Canis lupus familiaris: one gene and its partner. The protein of the gene in region 1 interacts with the protein of each later gene in a pairwise test. Links are inferred from orthologs where the notes say so. Each region holds a gene or a part of one and is shown on either strand. Other genes may lie near its edges.

Region 1 (4,828 bases):
TCAGTGAAGAGGAAAGAAGGTAGAAATCGTTGCGTGGCCATTTGAGGTCATTGAGGACGTTGACACTGAGAGCTTTAAATGGTTTGGCTTGGGGGGCACATGGGTGCCTGACATGCATCTTAGTCAGAGCTGGTAAGGCCAAGTGACTGTCCACACCCTGCTAGTTGCTCACCAAAAGGAAGATGGCCCCACCAGGCTCATCCAGGGACTGGATGGCCGTCTCCACCAGCTTAGTGGACTTGTCCAGCTGCTCCCGGTACTGCTGGATGAGGCCCTCAATGAAGCTGAGCTTATCCTCCTGCTCCCGCGTGATCCGCTGCAGCAGCTCACTCTTCTTCTCGTCCAGGATAGCATACAGTACGTCAAACTTCTGACTCAGCTCTTCCTTCACGTGGTGACTGTTCTCCTGGGGACAGAAATCTCAGAGTCACACCCTAGGGAGTCTTCCTCTCCCTGGCACATTTTTCCTGGGATGGATGTGCTAGGAATAACAAGTCTGAAGCTGGAAGAGATCTTGCTACACCCCCATTTTACAGAAGACAAAATGAAGTCTTGGCAAAAAGAAAGGATTTGCTGAGGTCTCGTAGCTACTTAGCATACCAGTAACGTTTGGAGGCTAGTGCCGTGGAGAAAGCTAGCCCTTTCCTCAAAAATAGAGACTCCAGGATCAGATGGGATGATCCAGTCTGGGCCTTCTGTGGCCTCCCAAGTCACCCCCCACCACACATACCCCTGGCCCCTATTTTAGGATCAAGACTGGATTCAGGAGGCTCTAGTTGGTTCTAGTAAGAAAGGAGAAGCAGCGACTCCTCTAGTGGCCTCCTCACTGAGGCTCCCTTCTCTCCAACACAGATGCTATACCTACAAAATAGGTATAATAATATATCTCACCAGACTGGAGGCTCTAGTATCCTCTATCAGCCTGGGAGCATCTCATGAGTAGTCCCCTCCTTCCTTCAAAGCCATCCTTCACACAGCTCTTCGTTCATCAGGAGTCTGATGACCCTTTCCCCCCCACCTCATCTCTAGGCCCCACCTCAAGTGGAAATGAAAAATCATGGATTCTTTTTCAGAGATAGAAAAGTTTCCTTCTGCCTCTATGTAGTCTTGCATGGTGTGGTCCGTGGACCAACAAGTTGGGTAAAGCCTGGGAGTTCATTAGAAAGAAATGCAGAACCTCATACCTCCCTCCAGATCTACTGAATAAGAATTTGAATTTTCACAGGATCTCAGGGGGATCTGAACGCATTTTAAAGTTTGAGAAGCTTTAGTCTACAACACACTGAAGACAGTGGTCTGAAAACTACTTGTGCTGAATAAATACTGAGAATTATTGCTGGCATGCTTCCTAAAGTCAGGGATTGGTCTGTCTTGTTCACCACTCCAGCCCCAGCGTCTTTGGCAGGGCCCGACACACAGCTGTGTTCCAGAAGCATTTGGTGAGTGAGTGGATGAATAGATTAGTTGGTTTCCACTCCACCACCCCTGCTTGAACACCCCAGCCTCCAGGCCCCAACCATTAGCCACAGCTCACAGCGGAGCCTTCACCCCAGAGAACCAGGCTTCACTGAGAGGCCTTGGACCCCTAGACAGAACTCTTCTCCCCCTCACCTTGGTCACTCGACAGGAGTCCTCCAGCTGAGTGATGATGGTCTGCATCCGGTCATTCCCCGCTACCAGCATGGAGATACAGTTACTCAGCTCCGTCTAGATGGGAGAGGGGGTGAGGGATCAGGAGAAGAGAGATGAAAAAAAAAAAAAAAAAAAGGAGAAGAGAGATGAAATAGTCCCAGGGCCTGTCTTCTCAGGAATGGCACCCTCACTCCCCTCTCTGCTAGAAAAAGCCTACATCTCTAGAGATACTACATCCCTTATTTTACAAATGAGGCCCAGAAAGGGGAAATGACCAAAATACAAACAGCAATGTACTGTCAGAGGAGGGGTTTGTTTTTAGGAACGAAGAGATACAAAAAAGAAATAGAGAGTTCTAGAAGAGAGAGGTCAAGAGAAGAGTGGGAGGCAGGGAAGAAGTGTCCAGAAAGAGGGGCCATAGCTTACTGCATGGGCAGGATTATGGACTCCCACAGGCCTCAGGGCCAGGGAGAGGGCTCTGAGCTACTTTTTCTGCTACAGGAGAGGTAACCAGCACAGGAAGAGGTATCTGGGGCCCCAAGCACACTGGGATGTAGAAGTCATGGCCTGAGAGGACCCTGGTGGCCTGGCCCAGGGGTCTGGTCTCTCGCCTGTGGCCACACCCAGGTGCTCTCAAGTGGCTCTAAGTATAACCCATGAGCTCAGCCACCTCCCCCAGGAAGGCAAGGGCTGCTGTCCCTGTGGCCTGGGAAGTCCCTCCAGAGGGACTATTCCTGAAAGGCCGGCTCAGCAGATCTACAGGGATCAAATCTACATCCTGAATCATCTGGCCATGCCCCACAAGCCCAGGCTGGGGGTAGAAGTGGTATAAGCCAGTACCTTTTGTCCCTGGAAGACGCTCTGCAGGGGGGCCACCTCACAGGCCTTGTGAGCCCCAAACACCTTGCACATGGAGCACGTGGGCATCTCACACGTGAGGCAATAGATGTTGATTTTCTCGTCTTCATGCTCCTTGCACATGGGGTGGCTGCCCTTCTGCAGGGGCCGACTGCAGAAGAATCACAAGTCACACAGTGGGGGGGGGGGGTCCCGAGTCCCTGTCTCCCCCCACCCCAGCTCTGGGTGGCAACTCCAGATCTATGGCCTGAGCCCTCAGTGACTGGCTGTACACAGTCCTTTTCATTTTCTGGATACCCAGAACCAGGAAAGCCAGTGACACCAAGGCTATCCTCATATCCTTGGACTCAAACTCCAGTGATGAACATGGGAAAGGTTGTAGAATCCCAGAACTGGAGATATTTTTGAGAAGAAGAAACTGAACCCCAGAAAGGTGAACTGACTTGTCCAAGGTCACCCATCAAGTCAGGGCAGGGGAGGCAAGAGTGCATTTGCTCTAATTATAGTCCCTGTAACTCCTGGTTACTGCAGGCTAACTTTGAGCAAAGCAATTTATACTCATGGCCTCACTTAATTCTATATTTAATCCATCAGACTGTAACCGCATCAAAGCAGGGAAACTTGCCTGCTCCCGGCACCTCTGAATTTGCAGTGTACAGTGTGTGTCATGGAGGAGGTGGTTATTCAATACAGGTGGAGAGACTATACCAGTAAGCACACCATGAGGGTGCCCCCAGGCACAGAGAGGGAAGAAATGTGTGTGCCCCAAGTCACACAACCAGAACACAGGCAGCCCAAGGATGAGTAACAGTTCAGCTCAAGCCTTGACTTAAAGTCCAGAAAGTCTTTCCAGCATTCAGAGTTTTTTCCTTCCCAAACACACATTCTTAGAATGCTTTTCTCCCTCGGTCTGGTTCTCTACTTAGGGGCCTCTGGCATGTTATCTATGCTTCTCGCAGGGCATCAGTTGCTTCCTATCTGAGGCTCAGTTTTTTGTGTCTAAGTCCTACCCCTTCATCTAGACATATCATTAAGAGCCAACACCATGTCTACATCACCTCTGCTTTCCCACTCTGCTTTCCCAGTCCCTAAAACAGCAAGCATCTCACAAATGTCAAATGGTGACTGTCCCTTGTCTATGTCAATGCCTCACCTCTGAATAGCCTTGCACAACTGGCCACACCCCAGACATTATTATCTCCCCAGGTTTTTAAATAAGTCCCTTTTCAGACTTATCTCTTTTTCATCTTTTATCGCAGGGCCCCCCCCTCCCCATGCTGGCAGGAGTCTTCCTTTGCCACCTGTCTCTACCCCCCCGGGAGGGAGCTCTGGAATGGCAGTAGCTGCAGAGATGAGCTAAGATCCTGAGGGTCTGGTGCCTGTGCCCACTGCCATGCCAGATGCCCATTCTCCTGAAGCCCGGGCATCAGCATCTGGGTTTAAATCCAGACTGTTCTGCTGCTCACTCATTTTGTGACCTTGGGCAAGTGATTTCACCTCTCGGAGCCTTGGTTTTACCCCAGAGCTACTGGGATCAGGGCAACTATCAGCAATGAATGTATAGAGCCTAGCACAGAGCAGACCCTCAATAAAGGGCATCTCTCACAGCCATTTGACTGTGTAGAAAGGCCCCCGAAGGGTTCAAGCATAAACCTGCTCTTCAGAGGTCGATACTCGAGGTGAGGGGCTAATATTTGGGTGCAATATTAATTTTCTTATTGGAGAATGGTCAGCAATATTTCTGTACTTTTATGGAGTTTTACTCCAGGAACATAGAGGCAATAGCAGTTAGGAATATTCACCATAGAGTCAGTTAGGCTCCCTCTCAGCATCACGGCTTGCTGAGCAGCCTCGGGCACACCTCTGACCTTCTAGGAGCCTCCATTTCCTCATTGGAAAATGAGGGTAAGAAAGTAGTATGGATTACTGTGAGAATTAAATAAAGGTCACGCATGGAAAATGCTTAAGACGAGGTGCCTAGACACAGGAGGTGTCCATACATATCTGATACTTTTAACATTTCCCATCAAAACCCTATTTGATAGTCACACTAACAAACCTTACCATCCTCCTCTGCTGATGGATAAAATGAAGGCCCAAAGATTCAACCAAGTTCCCACAATACATTAGTAACAGAGTCAGACTAGCCGACGGTTCCCCTGGTCAGGGCTTTTTCACACTAAGATTGGTCTGTCACTTATCCTGGGGCAGGACACTGCCAGGCGGGCAACACTGGATGATGGTTTGGGACCCAAGGGCCTGAGGGCAGTGGCCTGGGAGTCTTGTCAGGTGTCAAATTTGTAAAGAGCTCCCTGGTGGCCATATCTCTCTCCAGCTG
Region 2 (4,828 bases), on another chromosome or scaffold:
GGCCAGCTGCCTGCCAGGCCATAGGCTGTTTATGAAACTGGGTTAGGGAACCCATGCTGGAGAGTCTCACGTTTCCAGAAGGAGAAGTTCACCTCTTGGGCTGTACTTCCTGAGGCTTTATTTTTAGTCTAAACAGCAGCTTCCAAATGCCAGAGGGCAACCCCTCACCACTTGTCCTTACAGGGCAGCTTTTTCTTTATTCTGAACAGAAAGTATCAGAAGTCGAGAGAAGGAACTAAGTCTGGCGCCTTCATTACTTCTTTATCGATACCACTTTGAAATCCCACAGCTTATGATGGAACCCGATGGGTTTTAAAAGGAATTGTCCCTCAGGGAACCTCCACTCCTCCCTCAAAATTAGTTTGGGAACAGGAGGGGGGATGGAGCATGTCCCAAGAGTTGCCACCTGGTCCCTGGGTCAAGTCTCTGTCCACAGGTCAAGTCAGCTCATACTCAGCCTCAGTACAGATCCTTTCCTACCAGGCTGCTGGGGAGTGTGCTGACTCTATTTTAACATGCTAGAACCCATGGGAAGAGAGAGGCTAGGAACAGTGTTGATGAAGTGGGGTACTGTATGCTGGATAGTGTGATTACATCGGACTCGGTCCTTAACTTGCAATGGTATAGAAACTCTTCTCTTGGACCTGCTCAGTTATCTTGGGTCTACATTCGGCCAGAAATCAATCTGCAGGGTGACTTTTTGGTTCATCACTGCAATATGAACAGCTATAGAAACCCAGGGGTAGGAGGTGTCAAGCACTGAGGCCATGCTACCTAACGGCTTACAGGGTTTTCCAGTAGAACCCTTCCACACTCTTTTTTTAAAGTTATTTTCCCAGCAAGCTCTACACTCAGTGTGGGCCCCAAATGTTCACCTCTGAGATCAAGAGTTGCACGCTCCTCTGCCTCAGCCAGCCAGGTGCCCCAAACCTTCCACACTTTAGTCAGTACACGAGTGTGAGAAAACCATGGCCAATAACCAAATAGGTCATCTTTGGGTAAGAAGACTTGGCCAACTGGGATGGCAGGAGATGGGGAAAGGATGATAGGATAGGCCAGTGAAGACACTCGTCCCGCTGGCTGTAAACCCCAGACTTCCTCTTGCCTAATTCACTATGACTAAATGAACCACACTGCCACCCAATTTCCTACAGGCTGCCCCTATGGCCAGGCTGTCCAGCTGAGGCTTACCTCGTGAGTTCCATGAGAGAAGTTCAGACGAGCCACATTCATTCCAGACTTAATCATCTCCTTCAACGTCTCCACCGATCGGGAAGCTGGTCCTAGTGGAGGGGGAAAAAAGTTTTAAAGCCAAAGTGTTAAATATTCAAAGGAGGAATAACACTTTCAAGTTTGAAGAACTCTTGATATCCTTTTCCCCTAAATTTTCCTCCCAGAAACAGCTCAAAATTCTTTCAAAAGCATATACATGACTAATATTATGCTTACCCACTTCCCTGAGCTAAGGGGATGCTTTTGCTATGCCCTTGAAATCCTACAGGCCCCCATCTAACTAAGAAGGCCTAAGTAAGACTTGGCCCTGAAGCCTAGCCAGATGTCCAACCACAGAATCTTGGTTGCACACAGCAAGTCAAAAAGATCTTCCCTAGGGATCCCCGGGTGGCTCAGTGGTTGAGCGTCGGCCTTAGGCTCAGGGCGTGATCCTGGGGTCCCAGGATTGAGTCCCACACTGGGCTCCCTGCATGGAGCCTGCTTCTCCCTCTGCCTGTGTCACTGCCTCCCTCTGTGTCTCTCATGAATAAATAAAATCTTAAAAAAGGATCTTCCCTAGATTTCTGAGATGCTCCTAAAAGATGTGCTATGGAACAACACACTGTCTATATTCTGCCTTTAGCAGCAAACACAGAGCACGCAAAATTCCTTATTGCAACTTCCTAGGACCGGAGTCCAGAGTTCCCAAAGAACCTGTATAGCATCTCGCTCAGCACCCAGGTTTGCTACATTTCTTTTGTCTTTTCAGGGAAGATCACGGTCATATGAAGCCCCTGTTTTTTTTTGGGGGGGGGGGGGGGGGCGCAGCGGGGGACACACCCACGCACCAATGGTACAGATGATGCCAGTGTTCCGGGCCGTGATGGGTGGGGAGTCGATGTCCAGGCGGCACATGTGTTCCAAGAACGTGTCAGCCATGGCCGCGTGCAGCTGCTGGGTCTGAATGAAGGCGGTCCCGACGTCACTATGGGGCTTTGACATGGCTGCTGAGGTCCTGGATCCAGGGGAATTGAAGAGAGAGTCATCAGTCTGAGAAGCCCAGGTGGTTAATAGATCTCTTAGCACAAGAGGCTGTTTCCTGCTTACACATTAACTCAATAGGCACACTCTGCACGAGCCACAGGGAGCCCCACCATGCTCTGGTGGCGTGGGCACTCCTCAAGTCGGGCAAAGGGTTCACGTGACCATGAGCAAGTGGAAAGGACCTCAAAGACCAATTTAAAACCTCGTCCCCAACACACGTGCTTCCCAAGCATCCGCTGTAAGCAGATCTCCCTTACAACGGGCTAGTATCCGCTTTGACAGCTTTCCTCGTCCTCCTCCAAACAACATCTCACAGGCATCGAAGGAAGCTACCTCCAAAGGAAGGCGTGACCAACCTTCCAGCGACAGAAAGCACTAACTGCTAGTTTAGTATCTTGGCAAATATAAATCTTTGTATGAAAAGCTATCTCAAGCTATAAACGTCCGCTATGGGGTGGGGCATCCATAGTGGTTTTTAATAATCCCCACCCAAACTCAAAGTGATTTTCCTGGTTGTAAAGACAATCATCATCCAGGCAGTCCTTTGACCTCTGGAATCCTAGATTTTCTCTAAGCCAGAGCAACATGTAAGTTCATTCCTTGGCTTGCTCTGGCAGGAGAGCCAATCCCAGTTCACTGACAGATAGTAAGAACCACTCCTTGGACAGGAAGCAGAGCTGACCCAAAATCCCGAGCGCACTTTCACCCCAGGAGTCTGCACCTGAAAACCACAGCTACTTGTGGTCAGCAGGACTTTAGGGACGTGCAAAGCAATTTGCATAAAACCAGATAACCCCAATGGCACTGGTCGGGTTCTAGACGTATTACACCTACTTTAACAGGACAGTTACACCTGAGGAAATCCATCCAGACTGCTGGCCAAACCCTCTCCCCCACCTGATTTTCTGATACACCATCCCGATTCCCTTTCTGACAAGCACACCGCAAAGACCACCTGTTACAGGTAATTAAACAGACCCGGTCACAATCCTGACAACTGTCCCGACCTTTGCTTCCTTCACTACTGACAGCTAAACTCACTCAGCCGGTTAGTTTGCTGATTATAGAGACCTAAGAAGCTTCCAGGCTGGTCTGAAGGACCATCAGGTAAGGATGTGAGTCAGAAGCTCGACCCTCCTCATCACAAGGCTGTCCCTTCTTCAAGTTCTTGGACCAAGGGTTACTCCTAACACCCTGGGAGCTTCAAGGCTTCAGCCCAGGCTCCTGAACAAGCCTCTCCTCAGGCCTGTCCCAGCTCCTCCTAACTCTCAGGGCTCTGAATCCAGGCACGCCATACATGCCACTTTTACTTCCTCCTCCCCCCGCCCTTGACTTTGGGGCCTCTCGGGGTAGCTTGCATCTCAGCCCATATCTGCTACCTTCACGAATTCTGATACACGCCCAAGAAGTTCCGTGACCAGTTGTGAGCAAAACTTGTCAGCTAGTGAAAACGGATGGCTACCCATGCTCAGCTACAGAGGCTGATACTTCAAAAATGGGGAAATAAGATGTTGGCTAACTATTCCACACGGCAAATGCACTGCTCCTTTCAACGTGTGTTTCGTAACTCCCTAATACACACCAGGCACCAAAACGAAAATGTTTGGAGGTCCTCTCCTCTGTGACCTACCTGTTCTCTGTTAGCACCTAGTACTGGGGAGTGTTCCAGTGTTTGCTGAACGACCTTTCCGTGTACCTCAAAGCTTCTTTGTCAAAACCAAAGTTATACCTCTCTTCCCTCCTTCCCCAAATCTGAAGAATTTATGAATTACTAGAGGGCCTGCCTCGGCAGCCAGGGTTTCTTTATTGGCACTCACGTGGAGTCAGGGCTCCTGTGCCTTCGGAGCACATGGCAGGGCTGAGGTAAGTCTGCCTGTTAAGAGAACATGACTGAAGAGATGGCACCAGGTGGCACACCCAGCCAACTGGAACACAAAGGCCTAGCTGTGGCCTCCAAGTGGAATCATCATCCAGTCTGAGGACTGTCATCATGAATAAAACAAGATCTCAAAAAGTGGATTGGAATAATTAACCTGCATCTTCTTAAAAATCACCAGCTGGAGCAGCCCTGATAGCCCAGCGGTTTGGCACCGCCTCCAGCCCAGGGCGTGATCCTGGAGACCCGGGATCGAGTCTCACATCGGGCTCCCTGCATGGAGCCTACTTCTCCCTCTGCCTGTGTCTCTGCCTCTCTCTCTCTGTCTGTGTCTGTCATGAATAAATAAAATTAAAAAAAAAAAAAAACTGACAAAAACCAAAAACAGAAACATAAAAAACACAAAAACATAGTCAGCTGTCTCTTCTCTAGACCCGAGACAAGAGTGTTTCCTTGCAAACAAAGACCTGGCCGGGGCCACAGGTTGTTGGGTCATACCTTGTGTTCTCGGGGCTTGGGCTTCCGGTGACATAATGTCCTTTTTGTGGCTCAGGGTGGCTCCTTGGCCCCACTTGCAAAGACCGCTCAGAGCTGAGTAAGGTTTGCTCTGCAGAGCTGTACAAGGATCAAGGTAGAAGCTGAGTGTAACTGAAGTTCTTTGGGGCAATGGAAATATGACCTTAGTAACTAGGTAAC

What was found. The genes of interacting proteins can lie anywhere in the genome.
Region 2: the proteins of TRIM63 (region 1) and PKM interact in a two-hybrid assay, tested with the Homo sapiens proteins (3 studies listed by BioGRID and IntAct). The link is inferred for Canis lupus familiaris from reciprocal best matches to the Homo sapiens genes TRIM63 and PKM.

Annotation. Positions count from the first base shown.
Region 1 is NC_049223.1:73,296,480-73,301,307, reverse strand, and holds part of TRIM63 (E3 ubiquitin-protein ligase TRIM63), read right to left. Parts: intron 2,642-4,828; coding exon 2,473-2,641; intron 1,708-2,472; coding exon 1,612-1,707; intron 407-1,611; coding exon 173-406; intron 1-172. UniProt on the Homo sapiens protein: E3 ubiquitin ligase. Mediates the ubiquitination and subsequent proteasomal degradation of CKM, GMEB1 and HIBADH.
Region 2 is NC_049251.1:36,167,141-36,171,968, forward strand, and holds part of PKM (pyruvate kinase PKM), read right to left. Parts: intron 4,748-4,828; coding exon 4,631-4,747; intron 2,228-4,630; coding exon 2,061-2,227; intron 1,284-2,060; coding exon 1,192-1,283; intron 1-1,191. UniProt on the Homo sapiens protein: Catalyzes the final rate-limiting step of glycolysis by mediating the transfer of a phosphoryl group from phosphoenolpyruvate (PEP) to ADP, generating ATP.